Regions from separate parts of the Mus musculus genome. Here regions 1, 2 and 3 are each reported to be linked to region 4. The links are microRNA targets in miRTarBase. Many come from high-throughput screens and were not tested one by one. Region 4 holds a microRNA gene; each other region holds the end of a gene's coding sequence.

Region 1 (7,122 bases), not on the chromosome of region 4:
AGAAGTGGTTACATAGTCACCATCAGTGATAAAAGAAGAAAGACTACTGAGCAAACGTTAAAAAAATAAAGAACAACTGCAAATCTCATATGGCATGACAGGCCTGGGAAGTGGAGCAAAACTCTGGGAACGTCTGGTGTGTCAAACATGCACCTACTTGTAGACAGCAAAACTCTAGCTTATTCCTAGAAACTATCCAAGATAAAGACAAATATATATACATATTACCTATATACATATGTATACACACACCTAAGTGAACATAGCAGCTTTATTCATAACAGTAAGAAAAAAAATAGCAGAAACAACCCATCGATAGGGAGACAGAAAACAAACTGGTGTATTCATATAAAAGATTCAGGAATAAAACGTAATGAACGAGTGATGTTCCAGCATGGGTGACTTTCACAGTCCTGTGCTAAGCAGTTTGGTCTGGAATGTGATGGAGTGACAGGAGATGCCTGCATACGCTGGTAATGCATGACCCAATGCTTTCAATTTTGAGAAGGATTTGGATTACACAATCATTAAAAACTCAGCAAAATTATACAATGTATGTGTATTTCATTACATGTAAATATTAAATACATTTTTAGAATTTAAGTAAGGTATTGGGTGACTTATTTGAAATGCACTGAAAATTGGTAATAAAAGAATGAAACCTATGTGGCATTTGGTTACACACAACCTAATTTTATAAAGTTTACTCTATGTTAAAAATCTTCTCAACACAATGAGGAAAGTTCTGTCCCACTATAGCTTTTGCTTGAAATACAATTTATTTTCCATGTGAGACAGAGATCACACCCACAGAACCACAGGGAGCAGAAACTAGCTCCTGGGTTTTCTTTAGGTTCTAAAATGTTTAATGTTAACAAACATGGTAAGGAAGAAAAGAAACTGCAAAAATCTTCACTATCATCATTGTTATCTTTTGTTGATAGACTCTTGCTTTATAGTCCTTACTGGTCTGGGTGATACTAAGCTGCCCAGGCTGGCCTTTACTTGTGGCAATAATCTGCCAACACTCAAAAATTATTTAATAGAAGCTAAATTGTAGTAAGAGTAGATAATAATGCTTACTTCATTACAAACTTATCATTTTTGAACTATATTCAATTATTAAATGAAGAACCATCTTTCTGTCAATTCATGTATAAACTTTGCCTTATGCAAGTTTAGTCCAAAAAAAATGGAAATTCAATTATCACACACATAACTTTCTAGGTGCTGGGATGTAGTAAAAAGCACTGCTTAGTGTGCACAGAGGCCCATGTTCACTACTCAGCACTAGGCGGAATACAGACCATGCAAAACAAACAAAGACCACCTCACACTCAATAACAGCTCCCAGGTCCTCACTGTTCTGCTATGGCAGTGTGCAGAAGCCTCACGTCCCCGGGTGTACAAGGGGAAAGACAATGGCAATTTATACCTCAAGTGGTTATTTTCAACAGGAGTACTTTACATGTATCAAGGTCAGCAGCAGACACAAGCCATTCAGACTCACAGCTGGGCATGGAGGCTCATCATAGCCTGGACGGCACAGAAGATTTCAGGGGGGGGTAGAGGGGGGGAAGACCAGAGAGAGGGAAGAGGAAGAGGAGAGGGAGAGGGGTGCAGAGAGAGGAAGGGAAAAAACACAACACCCCCCTTTTGTAAGTACACATAAGGAAGGGTTACTAAGCTGCTCAAATGGTGGACAACCATGGAATATCTTTTTTTTTAAAGATTTATTTATTATTTATTATATGTAAGTACACTGTAGCTGTCTTCAGACACTCCAGAAGAGGTAGTCAGATCTTGTTACGGATGGTTGTGAGCCACCATGTGGTTGCTGGGATTTGAACTCCGGACCTTCGGAAGAGCAGTCGGGTGCTCTTAACTGCTGAGCCATCTCACCAGCCCGGAATATCTTTATTTAAACAAAATAAAACCATCTCCTCACTTGTTGGTTCAATAGCAGCAGTGACAGGATTTGCTTTCTGTTTCTCCCAGAGTTGTGACAAATACCGCAGAACAATAAGCCTGCTGTGTCACTCTGAGAATACAGAAGCAACTCCATTCAGTTTAGTGTCTGTCCTTGCTGAGAAGCAACTCTCCGGAGTGAGCAGCTGCAGACAGGAGACAGCCGGACCTTTGGGAAGCACACGTTGGCTTTGTTGTTGCTACTGCTATTATTCCAGCACTGGGAACAGAACCTAGGGCCTCATGCACAACAGCCAAGTGCTCTACCACTAAGCTACATTCCCAGCTCATCTTCTTGGTATGAGCAGAATCTAAATTTTCTTCATTTTTTTCTTATCTTCAACATCTTTCAGCATCTTTTGTATCAACCATGTGGTTCACATTCCCATAAACTGCCACAACTGGCCAAAACTAAACAGCTGTATCTCATCCTGTTAGCTGGGCACAGCTGGCTCTCTCTTTTGCTCTGTGTGTGTGTTGTGTATATTTGTATGTATGTGTGTGAATGTGTGAACACAGGTATGTATGGGTGTTTGTGGAGGTCATAAGTGGGTGTCAGAGCTCTTGGATGGAGCTGGGTTTAAAAGTGGCTGTGTAGCCCAGTATGGCTTATAGGCATGCAACCCAGGCTAGCCTCCAACTTGTGGCAACCCTCCTGCTTCAGCCTCCCAGTTGCTAGGATTTTAGATGTGAGCCATTAGGCTCAGCTCACACTAGGAATTTCTTAGTGGTCACATTATAGTTAGACTAGAAGTAGCCCATTCCTTTTTCTTACCACGTATCTAAGAAATGTCTCAACAGCCTTTCTGAATATGAGTTTCTGTTATCACACATGTATATACATACATAGCAATGACAAAGGAGAAGAAATTCAATTCCTACCTTAGAAAGACTCTTTGCTAAGACTGAAGTCTAAAGACACACTGTTCCAAATGCTCTCAAAGTACAGAGCAAATGAACTTCCAAGCTAAACAGCATCACCCTTCTTCTCTCTGCTGCTGCTCTTGGATTTGTTTCTCACTCATGTTGTGCAAGCCTGTTGGTCAATGGGTCAGGTATGGTAGACATCCCAGCAATGAAAGGTAGAAGCAGGCAGAGTTCTGTGAGTTTGAGGCTAGCCTGATCTACATAGTGTAGCAAGGCAGTCAGAGCTGCAGAGTAAGACCTTATCTAAATACACACACACACACACACACACACACACACACACACACCCCAGAAAACAAACTATCCAAACAAAAACCACTCAAACAACAAAGCAAAAACAAACACTAAGGTGTAAATGTCAGATAGGGCTGGGCGCTGTAACTATTAACTGCTCTGTAATTACGATGCTGTCTCTAAAATGCTCTCCGAGCTTCAGAGACACTAAATAGAGATGTTAAGTATCATAAACCAAGCCTGAGTTCTTCAGTCTCTAGACGTGAGTATTAGACTTTAACACGTTACTATCTTGTTCACGAGGTAATTACGTCTGTGTTCCAGATGACAATTCTGAACAGGACCAGCTTTGGAAGGATTTCTTTTTAGCTCACATACATTCTGCTTTGTTCTAAAACATCAATGCATATTAATATCCATAATCCAGAAATAAAAAATGCTCTAAAAACTGAAACTAGTGCTAACATGATGTAATGACTACAAAATTCAACACCTGATCTAATGTGCTGGGACACAGTTAAAACATGGACAGGTACAGTTAAGATACTGCATAAAAGCACCTTCAGGTTATGTATACAAGACACAAATTAAACATTAAACGAACTTCATGCTTAGACCTTGGACCCATTCTCAGGATTTTATAATGTACCCACAAATATCCTAAAATCAAGGAAAACTTCACTTACAAAACACTTTCGTGCTAAGCATCTTAGATAAGGAATAGTCAACCTGTAATTTTTTTCTTTGCATAAAAAGATGATTTTAGGTTTCTTTTATTTCTTGACTGAATAGACACACTAGTTACTAGTTCTTTGATTTTTAAACAGCCAACACCTCTCTCCTTAGTCCTGCTGATCATAATCAGCTAGAAACATCTTTGCAGGTTTTCAAGTCTGACTGGAGAATTCATGGCATTCTCTACCATTACCCCAGACAAAGTTTCTCTGTGTAGCCCTGGTTGTCCTGAAACTCACACTGAAGACCAGGCTGGCCTTGAAGTCAGAGATCCACCTGTCTTTGTCTACTAAATGCTGGGACTAAAGTTGTGTGCCACCACTTACTGGCCTGGAATTCACACCATTCTTAACATGGGGTCAGGACAAAATGGAGAGATTTTTATACAAATCTTCCAAGTTAAAATTCCATATTTTAACCTTAAACTTGAATCAAGTATGGCCTGTTGCTCTTCTCCTATGCTTTATTAAGCAGAGTCTCAATGCAGTCCAGGCTGGCTCTGAACTCATTACATGCCAAGCTGACACGGAATTCTTCATTGTCCTGCCTCTGCCTTTGAGATCAAGGGTTTTGTTTTCTTTAAAGCAAGGCTTTGCTACATAGTACAAGTTGGCCTTAAGTTTGCAGCAATCCTCCTGCTGCAGCTCCCCGAGTGCTGGATTACAGGTGTGAACTACCTGCTCTGACTGCTCTTTTCTTGTTTTATATTTCTCTTTGGAGGACGACTTGGAAGAATGAGATGACCGGGGAGATTCTGAGCAGCTGGGTTTCTCAGAAAGGGACTGTAAGAAACAGTTTCTCCCTACACGCAGGTTGCTTTTAACTAACATTCTGAAAGTGATTACTGGAATTCAAGTGTTATGTTTAAATCTGTTCTAACACAGAAGAAAAACATTCCTTCCATGAACAATCAAAATCTTCCTCTGGCTAATGAGGTTACTCCCAGGCAGGAAAGAACTCCTCTTGGTTTCAATTGTGCTACAAGGAAGAGGCCACCAGGGGCCAGCAATGCACAGAAGGGGCCTACCAGAGGCCCCTTTATGTTCTTGCTTACATATGAAAACAGCACTAAATAAACATAGCCACTCAGCAAATAGATAGAAAATAAGACAGACATCTTTAGCTGTATTAAAAGCTAAACAGGGTACAAATGAAGAAAAGCTTTCATTTGAAACTTGCCTGGAATCTTTTATAACACATATGCTAGGGAGATGGCTCTATCAGTAAAATGCTTGCTACAGAAGCATGAAAGTCTGAGTCTGATGCCCACCCATGTATGTATCTGGGCATGATGGTAAGTATGCCTTTAGTCCCAGTGCTGGGAAAGAGACAGCAGCATCCCTGACCAGCCAACCAGGCTAGCAGTATCAGTAAGCTGCAGGCCCTAGTGAAACCCTATCTGAAAACACACGGTAGGTGGCTCTTGAGAACACCATTGGCTGACATCTGGCCTCCAAACGCACATGCACACACATGCAGGCACATCTGCAAATATGTGCACACCCACATACACATAAACATGCAAATATGTCCTCAGAAACAAAGTCAAGTGCACTGGTATTTATACACACACAAACGGACTACAGTCAATAAGACCGCATAAGAACTGATGAATTGAAAAACTAGAATTGATATGTTTTTTTTTTTTTTTCTTTTGGTTTGTTTTGTTTACAAAGAAGCTGTGGTAATTTTTGGCTCAAAAGTATGATTTTACATTACAAATCCTACTTCTAATCCTTAAGTAAAGTTTGGTATAGAGTATATAGTATATCTTTATGTTTTGTTGACGTCTTTAGATCAGGTCTCATGGAGACCAAGCTGGCCTTGAATTTGCTAACTGGCTATAGCACTGGCTTGGAACTCCTGATCTTTCTGCTCTACCCGCCATGCACTGATATTACAAGTGTGTTCCACCATACCTGGCTCCTATATTTAGTATTTTTATTTTTGTTTTTCTCTCCCAGCCTTACTAATTAAAACTTTATAGTAGTCTTTAAGAATTAGTTATCCCTGCATCAATGATGTCTCTTTGACTCCTAGATAACTGTCCTCGGTTCCCTAGCATTTTATATTCACGTTAGCACCTAATGGAAATGTTTCAAAATGCTTGGTCTCTTGGGACAGCATCCTAGGGAGCTTTTACATAAGATGGAGTCCTTTCTACCATATGTGGTAAGAGTTCAACCTAGTCCTTTGGAGCTAGCACAAGACTTGTTCTGGAAAATGCTGCAGAATGTTCCATGCAGATAATGAGGACTAGTTACAGCTGACTGAGGCTCGTTTTTTTAACCAAGTCTCAAGTTACAATGACTCACTGTCTTAACCACTTCTGTTGACAGCTTCCTCCTCTTCTCCAGGGTCACAGACCATCTGGTAAACATAGCAGCTGAAGACCCTGTTGGGCTTCTGTTCGATGTGCAGCACCAAATCTCTGTCAAAGTAGACTTCATGGCTATATGTCTGTAACAAAACAGTCACACGGGATCTGCTTTTCACACAATTATATTCACAGTGTCACCAAAATCCCATAGCACCTACCCTATGCCCCTACATATGCACACCGATGCAGAAGACTTGTCAGAAATGGATTTTTCATTATTTATGTGCATGTAGACAGAAAACAGAAAAATACAGAAAATGTAGAGAATAGAAAGAGCTCTGGGCTTAGGGGCTTAGCTATGCAGTTCAGTGTCAGAACAGCACTTCTGTCTGACGCAGGAGCACGTACAAGTGTTCCTACCTCTCAAGTTCTTACTGAGAGGAAAAGACCTAGGCACAAGTATGCTGCTCTCTGTTTTACTTTTGTGTGTGTGCTGTGGAACGTGAGTATGCTCACATGTGTGTGGATACCTGTGTGTGCATGTGTGTTGTAGACAGGCCAGAGAGTGATGTTAGATGTCTTCCTCAGTTCCTCTCTGCTTTATGCCTTGGTCCCAGAACTCAGGGATTTAGCTAGTCTGGTCATCTTGCCTCTGAGATCTTGTCTTCACTTCTAAGTTGGGCTGACACACCTGCCAGCATTTATGTGGTGGGTTCTGGGGTCCGAAACCCAAAGTTCTCACATTTGCACAGCAACTGAACCATCTCCCCAGTACTCTTGAAACTTCTTCACTGCCACTACCAACTCATTTTAGGTGGTGCTGGGAAATGAACCTACAGTCTGATGGGCTGATATTTGAAAGAACAAATATTTCCAAGTGCTAGAACCCAACTTGCTTAATCATTGCTTGCCCCTTAACTAACTATGGGAGATAATTT
Region 2 (7,121 bases), not on the chromosome of region 4:
GAGAGTAACTTTCCTCTCCATTGAGTTCCTGTTCTGTAGATGAAAGGTGGGTACGGTTATACTTGGCCAGCACCTCAGCTTGCTGTCCTTGAAGATGGGGTGAAGAAGTATGGTGTGCCCAAGGCCCTGTGTTTGATCTTCAGAAATAGATTAGTTAATAAACAAACAAGAGACTAAAGAAGCTACATGTCTAGGGAGGAATCAACTCAAGAATTCCAGTGGTTTTTCTCATAAAATGTTGGGCTTTTCCTACTGGAATTAGTTCTGGTAGTAGGGTCTTTAGAATGATTGTGCACACCTGCCAGTTGCTGTTCTGAAGACCCAGTTCTGTGTTTAATCATTCCCTCCTTACCACACGCCTGGGAGACAGGTATTCTTACCATGTCCATTTAAAGTTGTGTGTCAAATGTGTGTGTGCACACACTCACACGCACTTGGGTATGTTGGGGAGGTCAGAGGACAACTTGCAGGGTTCAGTTCTCTCTCCCCACAGGCACCATGCTGGGGCCAGCATCGTTGGCAGCCCCCAACATGCCCATTTTGCAGATACAGAAACAGATAAAAGTCCTTATCAGCTTGTGCAGCTAAGGCAGGATCTGAACTCAGCTTACTTCCATGTCAGTTCCATAGCTCCTAACACTATAGGGTAATTTCTCCTTACAAGTGGCTCATCTTCCCCTAGAAAATCAACCATTCAGGAGCCACAGTAAAAAGTAAAACTCCTTGAAGACAAAAAGCTCCAAATAAGACCTCGGATTAAAAAAAAAAAAATCAGACAGGAAGGATTCAAGGACCAATCGCTGGTCACATCTGCAGCTCAGAGAAAGAGAACACTGTTTACCAGAAAGCTGGTCTGCCTGCAGCAACGAAACTCAGGGCTCTTCCTCTCCTCCAGCACCTCTCTAGGTTCGGTAACACCTCTGTGCTTTGAGAACCAGGAGTCGTCTTTAATCTTAGATGTCTGTTTTTATTTTGAATTGCTGTATTTCTTTTTCCTTCCTTACTTCTAGACACCAATGTATTTCTCTCTGTGAAGCATGAGCAAAGCCCGAGGTGCAAGCCAAGCCCTCAGAAATGTGATAGCTGTTACCAAGGATCTGAGGAAAAGTAACAAACCTAGACTCAAAATCAAAACGCTCGACTCTACTGTCTGGGGTGGCACCCATCCTAATCAGAAATGGGAATCACAGGCTTTGTTCCGGGGTGCTTGGCTGCTGAGCCACTCTGAAACCCCCTTCTCACCTGTGGATTCTGTGCTGGCTTGGCTGAGCACTGTGTTAAAGAACCTTCAAACATTCTTGCTCTAAGGAGTGCCTGGATGTTTACAGTTAGTGAACACATGTATCCTGTCTTATTCAGATATATAATCTTGACCTACTTTGTTCAAACAAGGACATATTAAAATACAACAATTTCTTAGGCCTGATAAACAGGGATGAGATTTTAAATACGCCATGCCCTATTCCACCAAGCCAAGTGTGAACAAAGTCTTGCCTTTCTTGCCACTTCTTCCCCAACGCAGAATTGGGTTGAGAAATTTGAATGGCTACTGAAAGAAAGGCTAGTAGACCACCTTAGTATATGTTGGTAACATATGGTACCCCCCAGAGGCCAAGTGAGGTATTAAAGAGAAAGGGTAAATGTCAGGAACTAATTATCAAATTAAAAGAACTTTGGGAGGTTCCCCTCAAATGTTGGCCTGATGCGTTTCTTTCTCTCTTAGAACATCTCCAGGCTGTAGGATGGGCAGCAGGAGTTTCAGCTCAGCACCTGCAAAGGTCTGAGATGGGGAGGCTGTCCTCTGTGGAGAGCCTGCTTTTCATCTACTTTTCTAACTCTTGGCCTGTTGGGTTCTTCACACTGTCTGTCCACTGTCCAGCAAGGGGCCTGGCCATGGCTCCCTTTTCTTGAGCTACTTTCATCCAGTTTTGAGCAGCCCCGTTTCAGATTGGCCTTTTTATGTTTGATATAAAGAATAGTTGTTGGCCAATTTCATCTTTTCATCGCTGTTCTCTAGGCCTGAATCCAAGTAGTTTGTCAGCTGCTCATTAACTCCCCCTTTGGCTCTTTCTAGTGTGTCTCCTAAGCTCATTGTGCCAAGAACTAACGCTTTCTTTTACACGATTCTCTTTCTCTGCTCCATCAGGGAGACAAATTACTTTCCAAAAGGGATCGCCAGGGATGGTTTAATGAGAATTTCTTTGGGGCTAGGCATGGAACGCAATGTAGTTAACATTCGGTGGACTTAATTGGACTTTTCTTTTCTGCCTCTTTTTAAAAAAAATCTGAAGCTATCCTGTTAATCTCTCATTTGTAATCAATTGTGTTGACTAAACAAAAGTCTAGGTCGTCTTTTCTTCCTGTCCCAGACAATCCTTTGTTGCCTGTAAATGCCGAGTTCTTGAGTGATGCTGGTTCTGTGGATGGCCCGATTGTTGACAGTTCATTACTACGCTTTTGTCCAGTTAATCTTTCTCGCTGTGTTTTGCATGTGCATGCCTTAATGAGCTCCGCTGGCAATTAACATGTTTCTGGGAGCAAACTGGTTGCTCAGACGTTTGAGAGGGACGTGCAGGGAAAAGGGCAACGCAGCTGCCTTGAGGTTATTTATTTCCCAGCGTTTTCTCAAGACTCCCGTACCCTCTTTGGTAGCACCCCCTTCTCTTCCTGCCCCCTCCCCTCCCTCCAGCCCATTTACCGCCTGCTCACCTGACTTGTTACTGCTCTAACTCTAGGGTCTGGCTCAGGCAGCCCTCTACCTTTCTGTGAGCCAAATAGCAAAATGGGGCTCCATGTAAACCCATTTCTGCCGCCAAGGCAAGAGCATGCGGAGTACCCCCCAAAATGTATCTGGATGCTGGCACTTCTCTGTGTCGCTCTTTGTAGAGAGGAACCTCTAACCCGCCTAAGGCAATAGGACTGTGCAATCTGTTATGTACAAGGCTGTGGCTTTGGAAGGAGGGTTTTTCTCTTTTTTTCCTTTTCTTTTTTCTTTTCTTTCTTTCTTTCTTTTTTTTTTTTTTTTTTTTTTGAGTCTTGCTGGCAAGATTGCTGAAGTGTGAGCAGTCATGGACAGAACAAACATCTTGTAGGGGAAAAGATAATTGGAGTCTTTTTTGTGTCTATGATAGGATTCCCTTCCCCCGCAATTTGATTTTTTTTAAAAAAAATATTTTTTCAGGGTGGCCTCTTCAATTTAATCAAGGTTAGAATATTAATATGCAGCGGATGACTACCTTGTTTAAGTCATTTATTGATATTGCAAACTTCAAGTCATGCAAACAATTTAATATTATGGAGGAAAAAAAAAACGAGAGAAAACAGAGCCTTTCGCCCACGATTTCCATGCACGATGCTAAGGAGAAGGCAGGCTACAGTGGTTAAGGAGGGAGCTCGGTGCTGGCTGTGGAAAGTGCTGACTCTTTCCAGGAGAAGGCAGTCTTTCCTGGATTCCATCACCAAGATAACAGACCTCTTCAACCAGGGAATGGTGTCCAACCGGAGGAAGGCAGAGCTAAGCTGCCTAGGTTTGGAAGAACTGTTTATCTTCAATTACCTTCAGATGTGAAATAACACCTTCTCAGGTGCGCAAGATTGGCAGGAGCCTAGTGTGGAGGTTAAGTAACAATCAAGTTAAGAGAAACAACCTCAAGGCGGTGGGAACAGGAGGGAAACTGCAGAGGTCCATCCTAGTCAGAGCACCACTTCCTGGGAGCAGGGACAAGCAGGGGAGCCCCATCAGCTCCACCTGAGCTGGATTTTATTCACTTTGGAGTTTGCAAAGAAACAACCCCCTAGTACTTTACAACCGCCAACCTGAAGGCGCATATTTTCAGTTTGCAAGAGGGGGAGGTCCTTTTGTAAAAAAGTTACATGGAAAGTTACAACAGAAGACTTTCTCCGGGCTCTGTTGCTTGATAGTTAGAAGCTAGCCTTCTGGGTGGCATGCTCCCTCTTCCATGGAACAGATTTCCTTAAGAGAAGGGCACTTGACTGTAATTTCCTACAAGCCACTTCCCTTCGCACTCCGCAGCTCGGCATTCGCCTTTGTATAAATATCTTCCTGAGGTGTTTTAAGATGTGCTTGACATGGTAGGATCTCCAAGCAGCACACCTGAAAAGGTATGCTTGGGAGATGGTGCTAGTGGTGGTGGAGGAAGAGAAGGAAGAGGAGGAAAACGAGGAGGAGGAGGAGGAGCAGGAGCAGGAGGAGGAGGAGGAGGAGGAGGAGGAGGAGGAGGAGGAAGCTGATTGAAATGACTGATATAGAGTACTCAGGTGTTCTAGAACGGAGTGGGGTCTAAGAATGTCAAGCAAAGTTAATAAAATACTTTGAGAAGAAATGGAGAAGTGGAGGGATTGACCTGTCAAACTCATGCAGCCTCCAAGAGGGAAGTTCCTATTCTCTTTGGCCCTGTCCTCCTCACCCCTCCGGGGTTGCCTGGGTTTTATAGCATACATAGAGAGTTAAATCTGCCTGCTCCTTTGGGTCCCGATCTCTCCTCAGGGAACTGCAGCCAGAACAAGATAGCATTTAAATCCCCTCTGGCTTCCTCGCCCCCCTCCCCTGGCTACATCTTCCCAGACTTGGGGGAGGAGGAAGGAGAGGAATACAAAAAAACGAGGACGCTCTCCTTTCAGGAAATGGAATTCTAATGTACGCGTTCCTATTTCTGAATCGGAGGTACTAAAAATACCCCTGCGACAGCCTGAGGAAGCTGTCGCTGTCCTCTGTGCAAACAAAATCGACAATTCTCCTTCTCAACGCAATGGGTCTTCAGATTGGGAGGGGGCCCAGGACAGAAGGTTTGGCTGTGAGCAGGAGAGATCTTCCACCCTGGCCAGGAGCATCTCCAGGCCACAAGCCTGAGACTGCTTTCCATCAATGAAATCTGAAGGAAGCGATGGTCTCTTAGAAGCCCGGACTTTGGAGCTCTGCCCTTCGTAGCCGGGAAACTCTGGGCGTGTCATTTAGATGGTCTCTCTGCCTCTACTTTTTCTCTGCAGAGTGGGAATAATCACACACACACACACACACACACACACACACACACACACACACACACACACACAGCTTGCAAATTGTTGCTAAAGCCACAGTAAAGGTGTTGAGTGCCTGCCTGGGAAAGAGCTCTAGAAATAAGAGGATCTCTCTCTCTCTCTCTCTCTCTCTCTCTCTCTCTCTCTCTCTCTCTCTCTCTCTCTGGTGGAAGTCAGTGGCGCTCTCAGTAATGAGTGCCTACTGTATACAACGCGTTGGGCTAACCCTCACTAGTTACTGTCAAGAGTTACCTGGGATTGCCCTTTGCAGTAACCATCCTTCCCTCCAAATAGCCTCCACCCGCGGTGCAAATCCGGATGGGGTCAGCGCTCAGCAGTTCTCACCCCCTCAACTCGGAGGCTGCGTGGAAGAGCACTCCCGGGCCCCGCGCCGCGTTTCCTCTGGTGTAGAAGAACAATGTTCCAGAAGACGTGGGCTGAATCACCGCGCTGATATTAAAAGTGTGGAGGGGGTGGGGGTGGAGGGAGGAGGCCAGGCGCGACGCGCCAGTAATCCGAGCTCTTGATTATCTAGATTCGGATCAAACGGGGCGGCGGCAGCCGGCCCCCTCCTGGGAATGATTAGATGATTAATGTAATGCTGTTTGAAGGGTCTCTGTTTTCTCTCTTAATTTGGGTCATTACTTAGAAAGCAAGCGTGAGATCATTTCATCAGCGTGCACGGCGGCAGAGATAGCTATTGAGGAAGTGGGCTAACTGCGTGGTAATCACGACCAGGGAGGACACATCGGCCAGCTCCGGGAGCTGGGCGCGCCCTCCCGCGGCAGGGTGCCGCTTACCGATCAGCCAGCCCAGACCTGAAGTGCAGGCAAAGGACACCAAGAGCTCAACAGCACGGCCTAGGCTGGACAGCCTCTAGCTGTCTCTGTCAGAGGAGGCTAGGACCAGGGTTGCGCTCCTTAAACCCCAGCCTTTTTCCTAAATTGCATGCTGTTACGCTCGGGATACCCAAAGGCCATTCCACAGCATCCAGCCACTTTTGACCCTTAAATTTTTTTCTCACCCAAATAAGAATCCCAAGTATCTGCTCAGTCACCAAATCAAACCTTGGGCTATTGATGGAGCCGGATGGAAGTGTTTCGGCCCATGCTCCTGGGTGCTTTAATATACCAGCATACCAGGAGTACGGTTTAACCTTAGCTTGGCCCCGGTGTCCCAAGAAAGTTACATTTGGGAAAGGAAAAGCTATAAATGCTTAGTTCCACCTCCTTCTTTGGATTTGTTGAGCTGACCTCGTGGCGAGGGGATGGGGAAAAGAAGACGCGCACTAATGGTTCTATTTATTGAGTCATATATATGTAATATTCCGTGTTCGCTTGTACAGGAGAGATTACAAGGTTGAGTGAAGATGGCAGGGGCATCACGCTCTTCTGGGCGCTCACGGTGACAGGCTGGGATTAAAAGCCGGCTGCCTGAGGAGAAGCGGAGGCCTGGAATTAAATATGTTTCAGCGCACTGGATTTAAATACGTTTCCTGAATGTACAAAGGTGGGAGCCACGCGTTTGTGCCGGTCATCGAGGACACGTTTACATTTCCCCAAAAATATGCTGGTTTCGATAAATAGATTTTAGCCTCTCTGCTATAGTTTTTTTTTCTTTTAATTTTAGAAATAAGTTTATACGTGAGATCTGCTTGGGTTGGTACAGGGCAGGAAGAACGGACAAGGCAGTAGCTCTCAGCTCTGAACTGTCCTGGCTAGGTCCTTTGCTGAGGGGGTGGCGGTGGGACCCACGCTGTCATGAAGTTTGCGCACATGTTTCTTTAAGTCAAAGTTTCTGCAAAAACCTTTGCCGCAAGTGGCACACGTGAAAGGCTTCTTGTCGTTGTGGGTGTGCATGTGGAAGGTCAGATTGTAGACCTGATGGAAGGCCTTGTTACAGATAGTGCATTTGTACTGCTTCTCGCCGCTGTGGGTGAGCTTGTGATTCTTGTAGTTCCCTACGGAAGAGCAAAAACAACAACAACAAAAACAAAAACGTAGGGGTTTGTAGTGGAATAAGACCTCCCCCAAACCCTGCACCACCAGCCCTCAGTCCCTGCAGTAGCTCAGAAGGCGATG
Region 3 (7,122 bases), not on the chromosome of region 4:
TACACCAAAGATTGTGCCCTGTCGGCTCCTCTTTACTGGTTCCAGACCCATTTTTGACCAGAGCAAAGCAGATGAGGAACTGAGTCCGAGACAATGGGGTGGCCACCTGCTCAGAAGCCGGAGGACTCAAAAGAAGAGCACGGAGGCCCGGCCCAGACGGACGTCTGTGCTACTCAAGTTTCAGAAGAGTTCCCCGGGTCCTGTGCAGATGAGGTACTGAGTTCTGGTTCCATCAGCTTCTCTGGAGAATTACAATCCTATTCACACACCTCTGAGAGCCCAGTCGAGACCAAAACGCCGACTACAAGTTCGGAAGAGCAAGACGAGCAGTCAGAACTTTCACTCTTACAGAAGGATGAAAATAAGCTGAGTGAAATGTGGATCAACCATCTCAAGAGCAAAGAAATTCATTCTGAAAGATCTCAACCCGACCGTAGACTCCCACCAGAAATCCCTAAGGAATCCGCAGAAGAACTGGATGCCCTGCAGTCTTTTTGTACTAAAAAAGTAAACTTGATTCACCAGAGACAGGATTTAAGAGCTAAGAAAAGCAACAGACCCAAAAGGCTGCAGCTCAGATGGATTGCAGAGACCTCAGAGGTAGATGCTTTCAATTGTACGATCCCTGATGAACTGTGGAACAGAATCTATTTGGAAAACACGAGAGCGACTCTGGCGTACATAGGGGCGATTACGCAACACATTTCTTCGCAGTGTCCCAGCTGTAATAGCAAAAGAGCAGAGCTGGCTCAGTCTGACTTCCTGAGACGAAGGAAAACTTTACTGCAGTCACTACTACTCCAAGAGAAAATAGATGAACACCTTCATACCACAGACTTTCTCACCCGTGTTGGAGAAGCACATCAGGGCTTCCCCAGGCTTTCAGATGATCCTAGGATCATCTGGAAGCGACTGACTGAGAAAATGCTGAAGGGAAGCTCCGGCTTTGGGCGGGCATATTCAAAGCAGGTGTAGGAAGACTGTACAAGTCTTTTTAATGATTCTCAACTCACACGTCCAACCAGATAGGAGGTGCTGACTACTAATGATGATATGTACTATGCCCAACCAGGGGATGGTGACTATTGGTGATTAGTGATAACATGTGTTGTGCATACATGTACCTGGTGTGGATTTGAGTAATTACCATCTCATATAGAGGAAATTTAGAAACTAATGTAAGATTTACTTCTGCTTCCTTCACTGAAGTCTAAATCATTAAATCCAATAGATTTTTCACATTATGGAAGACAATTGGAGAAATTGCAAAACTTTTGTAATCTAGGGGAATATATATATATATATATATATATATATATATATATATATATATATGTATGTATATGTGTGTGTGTGTGGTATTCTCTCTATACACACACACACATATGAATGATGGTAGTTTGGAGTGGTGGTGGACAGTACAGAGAGAAAGAAGTAAACAGATATAAGATAGTTAGGAAGCAGCGATGAGGGCTGGTTTTGGTGATAAAGAGGCTGTGGAGACTAACTTTGAAAAGGCACTAGGATTTTGACTTGTGTACCTGTGTACTCGACTGAATAGTAATTTCCTTAAGACAGAATTCTATTTAGTTTCTGTCAACTTGACAAAAACTAGAGTCACTTGTGGAGAGGAAACCTCAACTGAGAAATTGCCTTTCTCCACCGGTCTCCAGGCATTTCTGAGGGAGCATTTACTTCCTTAATGATTGAGGCGGGAGGGTTTGTGCCACTGCCATCCTTAGTCAGGTAGTCTCAGGCTGTGTAACATGGCAAGCTCAGCAAGATATGGAAAGCAAGCCAGTAAGTCACATTTCCCCATGCGTTCTGTTTAGTCCTTGCCCAAAAGTTTCTGCCTTCACTTCCTGTCTCTGCATCCCTCTATGACCTACAATAACCTATTAACTAAATAAAACTGTTTCTTCTCTAAGCTAGTTTTGCTTATTCAACACACATACACACTCCACCCCACCCCAGTAACAGAAACCCAACCAATTGGTACCAGAAATCGATACCAGAGAGTAGGGCATTGCTGTGACAGATGTGACCATGTTTTGGCTTGGGTGTGTGGGGGTGGCTTTTGTGGGAAGACTTGAGAACTTTGTGCTAGGCAAGGTCTTTGCAGTCTCAGAGCTTAATGACCAGGTAGGAGAGCCTGTAGCATAGGAATGTTGGGGAGGGGCAGATGATGGAGAGCTGGCTTCTAAAGGTTTAGAGGGAAACAAAGACCCTATCAGGAATGTTTATGTCAGAATCAAGAATCTGACAAGGGGTCATTGTGCTGGTTTCTATCTAAGCTGACACAAACTAGAGCCACTTAGGAAGAGGGAGTCTCACTTGAGCACTTGCCTCTATCATACTAGCCTATGTCCATATCTGTGGGATACTTCTTGATTATATCAAGGCCTGGGCTACTGTGGCTGGTGCCACCCTGGGGCAAGGTACTGGGTTGTTAGGAAGCAAGCTAAGAAATCCATTGGAAAAACAAGTCAGTAAGCAATACTCCTCCATGGTCTTTGCTTCAGTTCCCGCTTTCAAGTTGTTGCTGGGAGTTACTACCATGTCACCCCTAAATGATGGGTGGTACTCTGTAAGCTTAGCAAATCCTTTCCTTACCCTAACTGGTTTTGATGGATGTTCTTATTATATTTCTGTATAATAAAACACAATACAGCTAGGAAGACTACAACATGGCGAATTTGAAGGTGTGATTGAATATAATTCTTTATATCTAAGTAGTGTGTGGTGTATTTGAGACATATACATTGAGAGTATAAAGAAGCAGGTTATTTATATGTAGAGTCAACAGGAAAGGTTTAGAGGCTAGACTAGTGGGGAAATCATTGGCATGTAGTTAGACATTGAAGCCGGAGATGGGACAAACTTCTAGAAGCTAGGAGAGAGAAAAGAAGCAGACTGATTGCAGCTTCTGAGAAATGCTGACCATTAATAAAGTATGTTTGTGTGTGTGTGTGATAATCATGCAAGAATAAAACAGCGAAATAAAGAATATGAATATATACTACATAAAGAGTTTAATTGCTGGCAAGAAAACAAGATGAAGCTGAGGGCTTCAATATAGCAGTGTGTGTGTGCGTGTGTGTATTGTATATAACGTACACATATGTATCTATATTGTATATAACAATGCGGGATTGTTATAAACAATCCATTTTGGTCATAATGATTTTATGAATCTTCTCTATGTCCTAGTTTTCGGTCAAACAAACTATCATTTTTTGAAGAGCAGTTTGCCATTAATGGGGGGAAATCACATGTTCCTTGATAGCTCATATTTATGATTTATTTTTCTATAAAAATGCTAGCATTGATGGCATTACCCAGAGACTGTTTTCCACACATCAGATTATTTGAGTGAAAGTTAATTGTATTTGCAAACGATGGCTCTTTTTTTTCATTATTTTTTTAATTAGGTATTTTCTTCATTTACATTTCCAATGCTACCCCAAAAGTCCCCCAAACCCCCCACTTCCCTCACCCCCAATCCCACTTCTTGGCACTGGCATTCCCCTGTACTGAGGCATATAAAGTTTGCAAGACCAATGGGCCTCTCTTTCCACTGATGGCCAACTTGGTCATCTTCTGATACATATGCAGCTAGAGACATGAGCTCCGGGGGGTACTGGTTAGTTCATATTGTTGTTCCACCTATAGGGTTGCAGACCCCCTTTGCTCCTTGGGTACTTTCTCTAGCTCCTCCATTGGTGGCCCTGTGATCCATCCAATAGCTGACTGTGAGCATCCACTTCTGTGTTTGCTAGGCCCCGGCATAGCCTCGCAAGAAACAGTTATATCAGGGTCCTTTCAGCAAAATCTTGCTAGTGTGTGCAATGGTGTCAGTGTTTGGAGGCTGATTATGGGATGGATTCCCGGCTCAAGAGATTCTGTAGCCATCATGGTTAAGATTTTAGTCTTTGAGCTAAGCCTTCATTTATGCATTAATGATCTTTTTTCCTGGAAAATATCTTCTTAGTCATTCCTAAATAAAATGGAAAAAGTCATTGCCACCTACATAATAACTTTTCAGTTGAGGTCCAAATTACATCATACTTTATCTTCAGCCTCTCAGCAAATTCACATTTTATACAATCAAAACTCTGAACATTGCTCCACTTAGAATTCCCCGTAATAAAGGTCAAACTCTATTAGCCAATCAGTCCGGAAAACCTCATCTCAATAGGCAGCTGCTTTTCTTCAACAGTCTCAGATGGATTCTCTTCAGTACTTTTGACTGTCACTGCTCTTCGTAGGATATTTACATATCTTCTCCCTTGTTTTTCTCTTCATACTATTCCCAATTTTTTTTTTGGTTATTTTTCTAACACACAAATATTTTAAGTAATTCTGTTAACTTAAAACAGAAAACTTGAGTCAATTCTCCTCCATTACAAAAATAGTTAAAAGCAATTGACATTATGAAGTAGTTCTATTATATCTGTCCTAGAATAATCTTTCTATTCTCCTGACTGCTATATTCAAGCTTCTCTCCAGGACTTGCTGTCCCTCACGTTCTCCTTTTCTCTGTGCCAGTATAATTTACAGGTACAAATATGGGTCAAGTTTCTTACCTGACGCCTTTTTTTAAAGCTAGCATGTTCTTTATTGCTTATTTTTGTCTATAAATTTTGTAGTTTTAAATATGTACTGTGTTTACATGATCCAATAGTCAAAGGGATACGGAAAAGTTTGGTATGCCAGATCTTATCCCCATGGCTACTGTGCAATCCCATTCTGGACCAGCTGCCTCCAAGATCTTTGCTCTTTCTAGGCAAATATCTGCCACTGATTTGAATCTAGGACAGCCAGTCATACCAAGATATGATCATGAGATGGAGTGAATTCAGGGAACTTAAGGGTAAAAGTTTATTAGGGAGGGCTGAAGTATTTCTGCACATTAAATCCATAAAAATTTTGATGTGAAACACTAGTGTGTAAGGCCTAAACAGTAATGCTTAAATTGTTTTTTATATACCATTCCAATACTGTTTGTGCAAATATAAGCACCAAAGGTGTTTTGGTATATAGTCTTGTGCTTTGGCTAAGTGTTGCTTATGGGCTCTGTCTTCAACGTGTAATACTATTGGAAGCTAAGAGAACCTTTATACAATGGTCTAGTGGGTGGAAGTTGGGTCACTGAAACTGTGTGTCCTTGAAAAGAGTACTAGGAACTTCCTATTTCTTTTTCTTTTCTAAGTCCCAAGACCACCACACTGTGCTCTGTCTAATGTATTGTCTCACTACAGGCTCCAAAGCCACAGGGCAGGAAATGGTCTGGGACCAGCTGGGCAATGTAGGTTTTTCACCCAGTTTAGAGTGATGCTTAGGGAACCGTTAAGGCACACTTCTGATTATGTCTGCATGAACGTCGACATAGAGGATATTTGTATGTAGCAAAACAACAGAGGGGGCCAAACCATCACTATGGTGGGTATCACTACTCAACAGACTGGACCACAAAACAATGAAGTAGAGAAACAGAAAGGCAGCCAGTGTGTGTGTGTGTGTGTGTGTGTGTGTGTGTGTGTGTGTGTGTGTGTGTGTGTGCGCGCATGCGCGCGCGCGCACACACACACTTGGTCTTGATCCATTTCTTTTGAGTGAATATGGATGTTCTGCCGCTATGACCCATGAATAGCAGACCACAGTTCCAGTCTTTCTAGGAAATCTCACTAGTCATTAAACAGGAAGAATAAGTGTTTTGATCAAATTCATACTGCATCACTGGCCCTGTTTCTCCTGAGACATTCACTTTCACTTATTGAGATGGTAATGGCTTATCTGTGTGTCTAGTACTCAGAGAACCATTGTTTGCAGAAGAGAGCATGCTAATAAACTCAGTGTTACAATTACATATGTAACCTATTGGCTATATTCTTCTGGTGAGCCCTTCCCAACTGAGCCAAAATAGAAACCCAGCTCATTCTATGGCTGAATAAATAGTACAGGAGAACTAATAGAATACCACATACAAATATCCTCTATGTTTATGTTCATGCAGACATAGACAGGGCCAAGAAGTGGGAGTGAGTGGGTAGGGGAGCAGGGTTGGGGGAGGGTATAGGGGACTTTTGGTATAGCATTTGAAATGTAAATGAAGAAAATATCTAATAAAAATTAAAATAAGAAAATATATAATAAAAATTGTTAAAAAATAATCTCTTGTAGGTATAGTTCTCAGTATGTTTATCTGTTTAATTGCCTATGACACTTGGACTGTTGTCAGTCTTTGATTAACACAAATATATCTGCTGTGAACTTGTTTATTCAACCACCAGTTTCTAATTTTGTTTTTTCTCTACCTAGAAGCTGTAATCAGGATCAGATGAGCTTCTGAGTGTGAGATGTCTATGAAGTCGTTGGTGCCTTTGTATAAAGAGTTAGCGGGATCACTTCCTAACACAAGCTTCAACTTCTATTAGAAACCGAGAAATGATTTTTACAAACAAAGTTGTATTTTATATTTTTTTCCCAGTCATGTTCAAGTGCTCCAATTCTTCCCTTCATTGGAAGCCCTTTTCTTATTTTTCACGCAAAAAATTACAGCCATTTGCAATAGGTTTGAAATGGTATTTTTCTGAGATTTGGATTTTCCTGTTTGAGTATTCAGTATTACAGAACAACTTTTCATTTGCTTGGTAATCATTTGTACAACTGTCTGATCAAGAGCTGTCTGATCAAGTCTTTTAATCAGTTAAAAACTGAGCTGTTTATAAATTTTCTTGAGTTGTAGGACTTATGTATTTTGATATTAAATTACTTTCATATATATGGTTTACAAATTGGTTCTTATTTTGTGGGTTATCTCTCTAGTCCCACACACCATCTGATACATAAAACAAGTAATTTTAAGGAAGTCCAATTTACCATTTTTTTTGTAAGTTATGTCTTTGTGTTACATTTAAGAAACAATTACCATGTCTAAGGAATTAAAATTTTCCTGTATGATTTCTACTAATAGTTTTACAGTTTGGTATTTCATGATGAGGCTTAGAGTTACACATGTTACAGCTTGACTGTGAGTCCCAAAATGTATGTGAAAAGGAATTCCCCAATTCGTACGTAAATACTCTTTGGAGGTGATGCTTTGGAACGTATATAGGATTA
Region 4 (7,099 bases):
ATTATTTATTTAGGCAGAGTCTTTCTATATAGTCCTGGTTGTCTTGTAACTCACTGTGTAGACCAAGCTGAAACTCAGCAGAGATCTGCCTGTCTCTGCCTCTCAAGTGCTGGGATCAAAAGCATGTGCCACCATGCCAGGAAACTTTAAAAATAATTTAAACAGCATTACGTGTCAGGCCTGTGGTATCTGACTTTAATCCTAGTACTGGGAAGGCAGAGCAGGTGAGGGGTCTTTGTGAGTTTGTGGCCAGCTTGGCCTACATATTGAGTTCCAGGCCAGCCAGAGTTTTCTTTTTTTTTCCTTTTTTTTCCTCCACAATCCACGAAGGCTTTTTATTTATGCTTTACATTTAAAAAAATAACCCCAGGATTTTTCCCTCCTGTACGTTTTCGTCTCCCTTCTCCATGGTCCATGATGCCAGCCGAGGTTGTCAGCACAATGAAACCAAATTGCTGCGATGGGAGCAGATCGTTCTGCAATTTATTTCTCAAGGTCTTTGAATCGAACATCAAATCTAGGGCTTATAACTCCACGCTTGTTCAACCTTCCTGTGAGGTTCACAACGATCTTCCCAGCTCTGTGATCATCAATGACCTCGAATTCACTAGTGTAGCCGTGCTTCACCATCGAAGAACCGAACAATGACTTTACAACACAGCCTGATGAGGACCTGGTGTTTGCCTCTCTTCTCAGTGTTGTGGAAGCTCTTGAAAGCCTCTGCCAGAACATTCATTCGCACCATGGTGGCGGCAAGGGAATATGGCAGAAAGGGCCAGAGTTTTCAAAACACCTCAAGACACAAAATAAAACCTCGGGTCTGGGTCTTTTTTTTTTTTTTCAGCATCAAAATTTTAATTCATGTGAATTGTTTAAAATGAGAATCTATTACCAGTGTCAAATGAACGTGGAAGAGGAAGGCAGGGCTGGGGGAGGAGGAGGAATCTCCCTTTCTTGGTCACAGAGCTCTGGTTCATCCCACTGTGGATTTGATAATCTCCCAGAGACACGTGGTCCTTCAAACTCCTGTACCATTGGGCCGCTATCAAGTTCTTCAAGTTTCTGATGGTGTCATCTGTGTTGCATTTAACCCTGACTTCCTTTCCAAGAAGGTTGTTGTTAGCAGCCTCAATCATTGTGGTGGCAGCTTAAATCTTGACGACACAACCTGTAGTTTGAACACTGATCCTATTTTATTTTGTTAAGTATTTATTTAATGTATATGAGTACACTATTGCTGTTTTCAAATACACCAGAATAGGGTACCAGTTCCCATTATAGATGATTGTGAGCCACCATGGGGTTGCTGGGAATTTAACTCAATACCTCTGGAAGAGTAGTCAGTGCTCTTAACCACTGAGCCATCTCTCCACCTCACACCCCTTATTTTTACAAAAAAAAAAAAAAAATCTGTTATACGTGTGGGTGACCACGAGTGATGTTATATGTATGATGTTCAGGAGACAACTTGCAGGAGGATATCTCCTTCCATTTTGTGGTCTAGGAATACAATTCCCGTTAAGCTTCGTATTCGAGCCATCTCTCTCTCTCTCTTTTGTTACTCCATGACAGTTTTTCCTGTATTGAATCCCCTCAGAATTTATGCATCAAGTTATGTGGCATTTTGTTTTTCATACGGCACTAAATTTACTAGAATACTAGTCAACTTAGGGCAAGCATGGTAATGACATGGCTGTAATTTTTGCACTTGGGAGGTGGAGGTTGGAGGACCTATTCAAGGTCATTCCCCCACTACCTAGTTAGTTCATGGTCAGCCTAGGACACAAGAGACCCTGTCTCACAAAACTTAAAAAAAAAAAAAAAAAAAAAAAAAAAAAAAGTCTACTTAAGCCAACAACAGTGACTCTTGATTCTCCTATGGATGCAGAGAGTCAACACATGCGCATGGACACCAAAGCCCAGCGCCTGCGCACTGGGCAGTTTTTGCCTTTTGGTTCCCCCCCCCCCCCCCTTTTTGGAGTGTGCGCACCAAGAAAGACAAAGGTGGTGAAAGTGACCAAGCAGTCATTCGGGCGCATGCCCATCCCTAAATTGCCCAGGCTCCATGGGGCTCACTTTGTGGAGGCGGAAGTCCAATCCGATGCAGCGAGCGCGGCCCCCCTCTCCCTTTGATTGGTTTGCTTCCAGTGTTGTGGGGCGGGGAAAGGAAGGGACAGGGACAGTGGAAGGTTGGAGTGGTACAGAGAGCGTTCGCCTCGTTCTGCGCAAGCGCAGAGAGGCGACCAGGAGGGGGCGTGAGAGAGTGCAAGAGAATGTGGAAGCCCTGACGCGCTGGCGAGCGGGAGCTGGGTCGCTAGCCTAGACGCCTGCGCCTTGGCCCTCCGGCTCCGCGCGCGGCGGGCGGGTGCCCTGTGCGCCTGCGCAGTAGGCGGCGGCAGCAGGGGGAGGTGGAGGCCGTGGAGCGGCAGCGGCGGGTCCCGGGACCGAGGCAGCAGCGGGGGCGCCGGCGGGCGGAAGCTGAGGTGACGAAGGCGGCGGCGGCGGCGGCGGCCGTTTCCCTCACGGTGGCGGAGACCAAGGCAGCGGCGGCGGCGGCGGACGGGGAGCGGCCCGGCCCCGGCCCCCTGCTCGTCGGCTGTAGCAGGGCCGCCGTGGGGCCGGCCCGGCTCCCGCCCCCCGCGGCTCCCCCTCCGGCTCCTCCTCCAGGGAGACGCCGGGGACCCGGCCCGGCCCGCACTCAGGGCTCTGTTTCAGCTGCTGCCGGGCCAGTCGGAGGTGGTGGCGGCGCCATGGGCGGCCTGGCCTCTGGGGGGGATGTGGAGCCGGGACTGCCCGTCGAGGTGCGGGGCTCCAACGGGGCCTTCTACAAGGTGAGACGGCGCGTCGACCCGGGCCACCCTCCTTAGCCCCCTCCCCCAGCCGAGGCAGGGAAGAGTGGAGCGGGATCGAGTTTCTGGAGCTTGGTCTTGACCCTTAGAACCTTCGACCCACGTTCCCACTCGAAACCCTCCCGTGGCGATCGTGGGAGTTAACCCTCGTGCTTTTATTTTGAGCTCGCTGTTACACCTGCTTTTATCAGCTGAAAACATGGCCATCAGGTCATTCCTGTGCGGGGATGGGAGCCCCGGGTCCCTTTGGAGAAAGCCCTTTTCCTAGCTTCTAATCGACTTTTCTTGTTTTTTTTTTTTTTTTTTTTTTTTTTTTTTTTTTTTTTTTTTAGTGTAGGCGATACTTCAGCTTTTAATCACATCACCCCTGCAGCCCAAGCACATGGAGGATTCGCATTCTTTTCCTACATGACCCCCTTGGGAAGGTCCACTGTCCCACATTAGGTCTTCAGGGAGCCTTCTGCCTACTGGCTCTAGACCATTTGCTCAACTTTTGGTCTTAAATTCCTGTTCCCAGGCTGACAAGAAATGGTCAAAACCCATCTGTGTTATTTAGCATTAGCATCTTTGGCCTCAGGTTTTTATCAGCCAGCCATAAAGTGGATTTGTTGGACAAGTTTGTCACCCACCACACCTATATTCCAAAATCACCTATGAGGGATGGATTCACGCTTATCTCTTTGACTCTAGATATATTTAGGTCATTCCTCTATCTTCTTGGTAAGTTTAAGCTTCACTGTCTCTCAAAGGCCATCTCAACAAGTTCTTATTCTAACAGATTTCTGCTTGTTGACAATCCTTCTGGAAAGAAAAAAAGTATCTTTCAGAATTGCTTCTTTAATCAGCTTTTTCTTTGCCTAAGATTTGATTCCTGTGAACTTTTTTAAGGGGTGTGGTTGGGACAAGATCCCCTCCCTGGCTGCACTTGAACTCTTCCTCAGCCTAGGATTACAGCTCTGGCGTTACTGGTTGAGCCACCATGCCAGACCAGACTTTTGTTTTTTCCTTCTTTCTATCCACCACCCACCCCATCTTCTGTATCTGTCCTGAGTCTATTCTGGATCCCACGCCCCAGATATTTTCTTCTTCTGATCAGTGGGGTTCTGAACATCTTTTGACTTTTATGAGTGGAATTGTCCCGGACACGTTTGGTCCCTCTCTTACTCTTCATCCTGGAGAGAAAGAGGAATTTCCATAGCATGAGATGGGTGAGAAGAGCCCCTTTTTCTTCAGGTTTCCTCAGGTTGTCTGTCCCCCTACCCTAGTAGAACTTCTACTTTCTTATGCCCTTGGAAATAACTTTCTCTGACTCTACTATGAAATTGTATCTTTTTTGTAGCTGAAAAAAGACTTAGGTTTGCCCTACCCCTGTAGATGGTTCCTACCCTCACTTCAACTGATATGCTAGTTATCCATTATAAAGGCCAGGCCATTTTTTTCCCTTTTCTGATCAAGTTCTTTACCCAGTGCCTATGGGTGCACATACCTATTAGCTTTAATGCAGCTTCTCAACTAAGTCTCGGTCTTTTTAGCTTGGTATTTCTGTATTCCTGTGTATCCTTGATGATGTCTACCTGTCTAGTCTGTGTATAGCTGAAGAAGGCTCCTAGCTGATTCTGTCACTTTCCTAACTCTTGGTACTTTTTCTTCAGACCAGAACAGTGTCTCTAACATTTCTGTTTTCTGTAGCAAAAGTCTTTAATTCTTTTGGCTTCTGAGAGGACACATTAATGTTTTAATATCTATTTCACCCACATTTGTATTACCTTTGTTAAAACAGTCTCCTCAGGCTGGGTATGGTGGTACATACTCTAACCCTAGTACTTAGAAGGCTAAAGTAGGATTGTTGAAGTTCAAAACCAGCATGGGGAATGGAATCCAGTCTAAAACAACCCAAACAAACCCAAAAAGTACTCTTTATTATGCTCTCTTTTCCTCGATATGTTAGTCTTCATCTGTATCCTTCTAACATCAAAATGTTAAAAATTCCAAAAAAGCTGTGTGTAGGTGTGTGTGTGTATATACATACATACACACACACACACCTACACACACACCCACCCCCGTTCGATTTCTGGGTACAGGATTTCTCTATGTAGCCGTGGCTGCCCTGAACTCAAACTCTGTGGGATAGGTCTGCCTTTGTTGAGTGCTGGGATTAAAAGCATCCACAACTACTCTTAGTTTGAAAAGTGGTTCTTAAATTGAGTATGAGATCAAGATAAGATATTTGCATTTGGTTTAAGGAAGCTCAGGAGCCATGCACAGCTGGGACAGATGAGTGCTCAGTTCCAATTAACTGTATGACATGGTTGGGCTGGGACATGAATTCTGTTACACATATGGGTATCCAACAGAAAGTCTCTCTTTTATCCTTTTATTCTGTGGGCCAGAGCAGTGATAGATTTGAGGGAAGCAGGGACAGGATTCTTTGATAGTATAGAGTTAATAAAAGCCAAATATTGAGTGTAGATTTTGTATTCTGGCCACTTCAGCACTTTCTGCTCCATGACTGAGTTAAAGACATTGCCTAAGTGTAATGTAGATACTTACCTATTCAAACCTTGCTGATTAATATTTATGACTCAGCAAACTTTGGTGTGAGTAAGGGATACTAACTTTTTAGATCTTTTACGTTTGGGGAGATTCTTTTCTCCTCTCACAAAACTGTTTTACTGTGATTTTTCTAGAGCCAGTAAATATCAGATCTGAGGTCTAAGTTATTTTAGAATTATCCTATCAAACTTGGCTTTTCTGTCAGGATGTGATGTGTTTTGTTAAGGTGGTTTCAGGTGGCTTGGGCTTTTAACCCGGGATGACCTTGGACTCCTGGTTTACTGTGGCCTTTCCTAAGACCTGGGATTACAGGTGCACACCATCAACCCCAGCTTCATAATGTGTTTTGTTTTGTTTTTGTTTGTTTTTTGAAACAAGGTTTTTCTGTGTAGCCCTGGCTGTCCTGTAACTCATTCTGTAGACCAGGCTAGCCTCAAACTCAGAAACCCGCCTGCCTCTGTCTTTTGTTGTTTTTTTTTGGGGTGGGGGGCAGGATATCCTGTGTTGCCCTGGAACTCACTCTGTAGGCTAGGCTGGCCTTGGAAGGTTTAGGCCACCACCAACCTGTTAAGATGGGGTCTTATTGTATAGCCTTGCTTTGTTGATAAGGCTAACCTTGAACTTGAGGTCTCATCTTAGCCTTCCACTGAAGTACATCCTCAGCCAGGTAGCCCTCCTCCGATCTCTTCCTTCTTTCTTCCTTTCCCTTTCCCTTCCTCCCTTCTTTCATTTTTAAAAACATTTCTCCCCATATAGAGACAGGATTTTTATACTTTGATAGCTCAGGTTACTCTGAAACTTAGCACGTAGCCTAAGCTGACCTCCAATTCTTAGACCCTCCTGCCTCAGGCTCCCCCCAAACAGCCAAAGCAGGTCGTATCTGAAGCAATATTCAGGGTTAGATGTTCTCATTATAAGGAAAGAATAGTTTTGTAAGTGGTGACTGGCCAGGTCTGTGAGGTGGGAACTCTGTATTCTCTAGAATATTATTGGTACATTTTCTCCTAAGCTCTGCCACTATCCTAGTTACTGTACTTAGGGCTGGTCCTTGAATATTGTTAGCCTTTTTTTTGAAGCATCTGGCTTTCTTACTGCTTTTGATGTTGAGGATTGAAATCAGGGCTTTATACTTGCTAGGCACACATCACACGGAACTATATTCTAGCCAAACCCCCCTTATCTAATCTATCTAGTGTTTTTTTTTTTTTTTTTTTTTTTTTCTTCCAGAATAGGGTTTCTCTGTAGCCCTGGCTGTCCTGGAACTCACTCTGTAGACCATGCTGGCTTGGTTAGAGATCTGCCTGCCTCTGCGTGTTGGGATTAAAAAAACCACCACCTGGCAGCTATTATTTTTCCTTTCTTCCTTCCTTCTTATCTATCTTCCTTCCTTCTCTATCTCTGTCTATCTGGCAACTTATTATTTCTTTCTATCCATCCACCTATCTATGAGACACTGTCTATATATTTCTGGGTAGCCTGAACTTGTGATATAGACCAGGCTGGTCGTGAATTTAAAAAGATTCACTTGCTCCTACTTCTCAGCTCCTGGGACTAACAGCTCTCTAAACTGTCTCCACTTCTATCAAAAAACGCAAATACAAACTAATGTTTACTAATCAAAAGCAACTGTGGGACTAAGAGTGTAGTACAGTTGGTAAAGATGCATAAAACACCGTCAGCACCAGATAAACAGG

Evidence for each region. The annotated mature microRNA mmu-miR-467f reads AUAUACACACACACACCUACA and lies in region 4 at 4,852-4,872, opposite strand. An mRNA with a match to its seed (bases 2 to 7 or 8) in the 3' UTR can be bound and repressed. Matches are read on the target gene's strand: a 7mer-m8 pairs with bases 2 to 8, a 7mer-A1 pairs with bases 2 to 7 and ends in A, and an 8mer does both.
Region 1: the mRNA of Dcaf17 is a reported target of mmu-miR-467f. Seed matches in the 3' UTR shown: 8mer at 5,426-5,433, 7mer-A1 at 4,246-4,252 and 7mer-A1 at 545-551.
Region 2: miRTarBase lists Fezf2 as a target of mmu-miR-467f. The part of its 3' UTR that is shown has no 7-base or 8-base seed match.
Region 3: the mRNA of AI429214 is a reported target of mmu-miR-467f. The part of its 3' UTR that is shown has no 7-base or 8-base seed match.

Annotation. Positions count from the first base shown.
Region 1 is chr2:71,088,991-71,096,112 of GRCm38, reverse strand. It overlaps Dcaf17 (DDB1 and CUL4 associated factor 17), which reads right to left. Exons shown (of 14, transcript NM_001165980.1): 14 at 255-6,324. The coding sequence ends at 6,184. Among named protein-coding and RNA genes, the nearest start is that of Cybrd1, 26 kb to the left of the region's middle.
Region 2 is chr14:12,335,759-12,342,879 of GRCm38, forward strand. Fezf2 (Fez family zinc finger 2) reads right to left here. Exons shown (of 5, transcript NM_080433.3): 5 at 6,134-7,000. The coding sequence ends at 6,738. Among named protein-coding and RNA genes, the nearest start is that of Gm24578, 5.4 kb to the left of the region's middle.
Region 3 is chr8:36,993,607-37,000,728 of GRCm38, forward strand. It overlaps AI429214 (expressed sequence AI429214), which reads left to right. Exons shown (of 1, transcript NM_001039220.3): 1 at 1-1,927. The coding sequence starts at 94. The coding sequence ends at 975. All of the region lies in intron 2 of G630064G18Rik (RIKEN cDNA G630064G18 gene), which reads right to left. Among named protein-coding and RNA genes, the nearest start is that of AI429214, 3.6 kb to the left of the region's middle.
Region 4 is chr11:69,630,568-69,637,666 of GRCm38, forward strand. Mir467f (microRNA 467f) reads right to left here and starts at 4,952; the gene lies at 4,833-4,952. It overlaps Fxr2 (fragile X mental retardation, autosomal homolog 2), which reads left to right and starts at 2,404. Exons shown (of 17, transcript NM_011814.2): 1 at 2,404-2,831. The coding sequence starts at 2,751. It also overlaps the pseudogene Gm12308.